Saccharomyces cerevisiae S288C: one gene and its partner. The gene in region 2 interacts genetically with the main gene of each other region. Each region holds a gene or a part of one and is shown on either strand. Other genes may lie near its edges.

The links.
Region 1: mutations in FIT2 (region 2) and KRE28 together harm fitness more than expected from each alone (negative genetic interaction), as found in Saccharomyces cerevisiae (one large-scale study listed by BioGRID).

Annotation. Positions count from the first base shown.
Region 1 is NC_001136.10:1,498,896-1,502,502, reverse strand, and holds KRE28 (Kre28p), read left to right. Parts: upstream 1-1,949; coding exon 1,950-3,107; downstream 3,108-3,607. Other genes in the region: HSP31 (glutathione-independent methylglyoxalase), read left to right, coding at 343-1,056; CAB1 (pantothenate kinase), read right to left, coding at 3,168-3,607.
Region 2 is NC_001147.6:1,057,891-1,060,526, forward strand, and holds FIT2 (Fit2p), read left to right. Parts: upstream 1-1,640; coding exon 1,641-2,102; downstream 2,103-2,636. Other genes in the region: YOR381W-A (uncharacterized protein), read left to right, coding at 533-700; FIT3 (Fit3p), read right to left, coding at 2,551-2,636. UniProt on the Saccharomyces cerevisiae protein: Involved in the uptake of non-siderophore and siderophore sources of iron. Has a role in the retention of iron in the cell wall and periplasmic space.

The DNA of each region.
Region 1 (3,607 bases), on a different chromosome or scaffold from region 2:
TCCATGGGAGGCGGCTTTTTGTTCTGACGGATCCATAAATCCCGTAAAGAAATCTGGGCGAATGTATACAGAGAATTAACGTTACTCATTCCTAGCCTGAAAATCAAAAAGCTTGGCATAAGGGGCATGTACATAGTCTTCATGAAAGAAATGGAAAATTTTTTCAAGGGATGGCTTCACGGTTCCATTATTGCTTCCGGTTTCCGTTACCCTTTAAATCAGATATATAAACAGCCATAAGGAGAACCATTCATTTCTTTATCATCCGCTAAATTTTATTAACGGCATTTTTAAGTACTTCCCACTGGCTAATTACACAGATAAAACTCAAACAAATTTATAATGGCCCCAAAAAAAGTTTTACTCGCTCTTACCTCATATAACGATGTATTCTACAGTGACGGCGCCAAGACCGGTGTTTTTGTTGTAGAAGCCTTACATCCCTTCAACACATTCCGAAAAGAAGGTTTTGAAGTCGATTTTGTATCTGAAACCGGAAAATTTGGTTGGGATGAGCATTCCTTAGCCAAAGATTTTCTAAATGGTCAAGACGAAACGGATTTTAAAAATAAAGACTCAGATTTCAACAAGACATTGGCTAAAATTAAGACACCAAAAGAGGTGAATGCCGATGATTACCAAATTTTTTTTGCATCTGCAGGCCACGGTACCTTATTTGACTATCCTAAGGCTAAAGACTTGCAGGACATTGCTTCCGAAATTTATGCTAACGGTGGTGTTGTCGCAGCTGTTTGTCACGGTCCTGCTATTTTTGATGGGTTAACAGACAAAAAAACAGGAAGACCATTGATCGAAGGTAAATCTATCACCGGTTTTACTGATGTTGGTGAAACCATTTTGGGTGTTGATAGTATTTTGAAAGCCAAGAATTTGGCAACCGTTGAAGATGTTGCTAAAAAATATGGCGCTAAGTATTTAGCTCCGGTTGGGCCCTGGGATGATTACTCTATTACTGACGGAAGACTGGTAACAGGTGTGAATCCTGCTTCTGCGCACTCCACTGCCGTAAGATCCATCGACGCTTTAAAAAACTGAGCCAAAGGTTGATAATTAGAATTTCCTTTGTACTACTATATAGATGTAAGGAACTTTAGGAGGCGTTATTGAGTACGAGGGATGTACCTCATTGTTAATACGTTGAAATATTTGGATATTGGGGAAACACATGTCTGAGATGGGTCTTCCAATAACCAAAGTTTATAATCTTTATCTTTTATCTGCTTTAGCTAGAGGTTAATAGTGAAGACTACATTTGGTCTCCAACAAGGTGCTACAATTTATTTTTCAGCCACTCCGTTGCACAGCATTTATCTAGCCAACGTTAATATCAATGAGAATGGAGAAGAAAGCATTAGCGTCGTTACGCTGCAAATCATCTATGCAATATGTAAAACTATACATAAAACTTTCTAAATTTTTTTTTTTTCATTTTGGTATTTCTGTCAGCTGCCGATGCTTCCTAAAGGGTTTATTCATGTGGGACATTGTAGGTGTGTTTCAGTTATCTAATGGTTATTTGCATCTTAGTGAGCTGTTCCTTGCGGTTTCTTGCTAAATGATCACGAAAAATGTTTTTTTCTCAGGTTAATTATGGCAGAATGTCGACACGAATTGGTCATATTGAAAATATTTAGTAATGCCCATCAATTAAATTGAACGTTATATCATCCGGATAAACAATATCTTCCAGATTAAAAAGGAAAAATAATTTAGGGCATACGTATTAGGTTATTCAACCAGAAATTAGCATTTGGCTGTCTTTAATGCCATCGCTTGGGAACTAGGCAGTTAAATATAAGCACATGTAAAAAAAGTGAAGATCGCGTAACTCATTATTTATAAACACAAGGAGAATGAGCAGCATCAAAAAAACTTCAACCAATAGAAAAAAACATATAGACTAGCTTTAAAACAAAATTAGTGAAGAAATGGATACAGGGAGTGCGAGCATAAAGGACTATGAGACCGTGTTAACGGATATTGAGGATTCTATTGCTGTGAGCAGCGAAGAAGTGCTAAATAACCAAGAACTAAGGCTCAAAAATACATTGCACGAAATTACTTCCAGCATTCTGGCAATAAATGAAGAGAACAAGTTTGTGAATCCTCTTAGGAACGATGAGAGCTTAGACGTAGAGGGAAAGGAGGTCTTTGTAAATCCAAAAATTCTGAGTGCAAAAATCAAGGAGTTCAATAAACTAATGGAGTTACTTAAGTTGACTTACTTGGAACAGGAGACATTGGACTATTTCTTCAGGTTTACTTTGTCCTCGACGAAACCTTTGCAGTTAGATTCCGAAAAAGACCCCCAATTTGTAAAACTTAATGAAAGAGTTAATGATTTAAAGGAAGAAATTTCGAATGTTCAAGAAAGCAAAATAGAACAAATCAAAGCTGAAATCCAAGAGACCGGTCACAACTTTGCAGAAAGGCAAGATTTAATAAATGAGTTGTATCTGGAAGCCACTGGTGATATTGAAAATTGTTGGGATTCGCTCAATGAACTAAAAAATTTAACAAACAAAGAAGATAAGAATATGATGGGAGAAAAAGATACGATATTAAATTCAAGTGATTCAGATGATTTTGTGGAAGAGACATACACGAATTGGCAAAAACTACTATTTTTGCAGAAGCAAAATCAAAGGTTAACGAAAGAGCTCAAGGAAATGCATGAAGTTAAAAATCAAATAATACGAAAAGGAGAGCAATCAAAAAAAGAGGATTCTGGACATTTAATGGCCAATGAATCAGAATTATGTCAGTCAATTAATTTGCTAACAAAATTTTGGGAAAAGCACTTTTTACTCAAAGGGTCAAAGACGACTATATTAAATTTTGAAATCTTTACCCAGCTTGGAAAAGTACAATTTGAAATAAAGGATATGCAATATATAATTGCCATATCTTTAAGCGATTTAAAAAGGCCAATGATAAAAGACATTACTATTTTACAAAAAGCGGGTGGCAATATAGTCACAGACATTGAAGCGAGCAGTAAATTTAACAATAAGTACAGAAATAATACTAAGGTGCAAATCTTTGAGGTAATGGATGACATTATAAGCGAGCTAACAAACGAATAAATTAATTATCTAGATAAAGATGTATGTAATATTACTAGCCAAAAAAAAAGTGAAATCTATCTACGTACTTGTTTTCTTAGTAGATGAATGACGAGACGCGCTTAGGAAAGCACCCATTGCACCCAAATAGCCTTCATGTTTGAGAAAAAACGCTTGCTTTGATCCTTGTGACCAAAAATTAATAGCGTAGCTCAAAGTGTTCATGGTAGTCAAATGTCCTCTGGTATAAGATCCGCCAAAGTATATATTCTGTATATTATTGATTTTAGCTTGCAAATAAGCTATTTGCCCAATATTGTTGGAGATGGCGAATAGAAGACTTTTACAAATATCAGGATTCTTAAACATTTGTCCATTGTTTTTCTCAATAGACTCATGTGAGGAATATAATTTATTTTCGTTGTTTTCCAAAGATTTGTTAGATGTCATTCTATTTTGGAAAACTTTACCAAATGAACTTGCAATAGCTGACGACTTTAGACCAATTTTATTATAGTCTG
Region 2 (2,636 bases):
ATTTTTTTTCTGGATTGATGTTCTTTCCAATTGTTGTGGTAATCCACAGCTGGTATAACATAAAAAGAAGTTTTTTGTAAAAAAAAAAAATTTCTCAGTAAGCATATAAGCCTCAGTGAAATAAAATTTTAACAACTACACGCTATTCTATTCCATTTGCCCTGCTTTTCTCGCTTCGTTATCACCTAACCACTAAGAACATACTAATAATACAAAATTTTTATCCACTTTTTACCAACAGATTTTCATGAAATATCCATCTTCTTTCCGAATTCTGTATAAAATGAAAGAGAGATTTTTTGCTCTCAATCCAGGCTCAAGGCTCTTGAGAACAGGTAATTGTTGTTTAGCACGTTTTCAACACATTTATCAGAAAACGACAGTTAAAAATAAGACGAGCGGCGTTATCATCCTGATAGTCACTAAATGAAAAGCAGGTACTTTTGAAGAGCACATGTAATATTTGCTCAACTGATAATACCTTCATTTTATACACACTTCTAATTTTTTTTTTAAAATCAGATACGCATTGATGTTCAATGTAGCATTACCATCACAAGACAAAAAATCAGAATTTTACAAGCAAAAGCGCTTATCTTTAAGGACCAACATATTAGATGAATTCTTAAGGGTTGCCAAAACGCAAGACAACAGGCAAAATAATTTCGTTTCTCAGTACCGAAATGACGAAATATACTGAGGCAAATGCGATCATCATGCCTTTGCGCCAAGAAACTCCCTTGTGAAGAACTTCAAACCGAAATGGGAAAACTTTGAGTTATTGACAGGGAATACGGAGGGGAAGATCACACTTAAATCCGTATGAGCCGCGCACATAATGGTATTCAAATACACAAGAACATTCATGAGCTATTTTTCATCCGTGCAAACGAATTTACTACAATTGGACCAGAGGGCACCATAACTGGAGACTTTGCTACTGACTCAACGTTGATGATGCGAGTAGTGGGTGTACTGTGATTTGCTCATTTTTTTTTTTATAGAAAGATTCGATTAATGAAAGTCACAGGAGACATTTTTACATAGACATTCCGTATATGTTGCGGGTATCGCGGATGCGGATTAGTGATGCCTTTAACTACATTTCATAGATTTCTGTATACCAATTGAAATGAGTGAAGTAAGCTCCTACAGTGAAATATCTGGGTGCTACTGACGCCAAGCCCTACAGCGATCGGAATGCGGGAACGGAAGTTAACGGGGCTTCCAGAACGGCGGAAGCGAATTGAACGAGGACGGCAAACAAAAACACCCAAAATTTCATTACTTAGAATGACCCTCAAGAGCAGGGTGCAATTTATCAAGCGATCATTGAACTAACTAAGTTCATATCCTGTATAGGATTTAAAACAATGCACCCTAAGTTCAAATGCACCCCCCCTCGCCCCGCAGCGGACCCTTGAACAGAGAACTGTTTCGAGGTTCACCCAATTGGATCACTTGTATAATTTGTAATCGAGTTCGGATAAGATGTATACGAATCTAACTGGGTGCAGTATAATTAGCATTTTATATTACCTAGCAATATATGTATAAAACAGGAATGTGTGCGTGCTTCAGGCAGAATTTTACGGTCCTTGTAAAAAAGTCTATCATAAAGCCATCACAAAACAATAATAATGAAATTCTCAACTATTTTCGGAGCTACTACAGTTATGACTGCCGTCTCGGCAGCAGCTGTGTCGAGTGTAATGACCACTAAGACTATTACTGCTACTAACGGTAATAACGTTTACACTAAGGTCGTTACCGACACCGCTGACCCTATCATTAGTTACAGTACCACTAGAACTGTCGTTGTCAGTAATAGTGATGCTACTTACACAAAGGTTGTCACCGAAGGACCAGATACCACCTCTGAAAAGAGTACAACAAAGACACTTACTTTGACAAACGGTTCAGGTTCATCAACCAACCTTTACACCAAGACCGTCACTCAAGCCGTCGAATCATCTACATCCTCCTCATCCTCCTCATCCTCCTCCTCCTCTTCTGCCTCTTCTTCTGGTGCTGCTCCTGCTGCATTCCAAGGAGCAAGTGTCGGTGCATTGGCCCTTGGTTTGATTTCTTACCTATTATAAGCTCGGTTTCAAACCAGAAAAAAGCTATTAGTTATCGTGTATAGCATATTTATAACTTATCTATGAAAAGCTAATATAATTGTCTTTCTCCTTCAAAAGGCTAGTAAAAAGGACTTTTTTTCATTACGTTTCTCAGTGACTTCAATGTAGCAGTTTTTCGTTTCATCATCATCATCGTATTATTATTATTGTTATTATTATTATTATCATTACTTTTATTAATATTAACTATTTTTTTAGTATGATTTCGGGTATATTTATTTTAATTAGATACTTTTAACCGTTTCAAACAATTAAAGGAAGACCAACGAACTTGAAACAGTATATATACATACATACTTAATGTGTGTTATTAAAATTTTTTTATTCTAACATAACTTCGAAAAAAGGCCAAGCCGCAAGGTGCTTCATAAAAATCGGATATCCCGCATGATTATTCACATATCATTTACAATAACATGACGGCAGCAAGGGCAGCACCCATCAAACCAGTACCAGCGGTGATGGCATCAGCAGCACCGGTGTAACTAGATA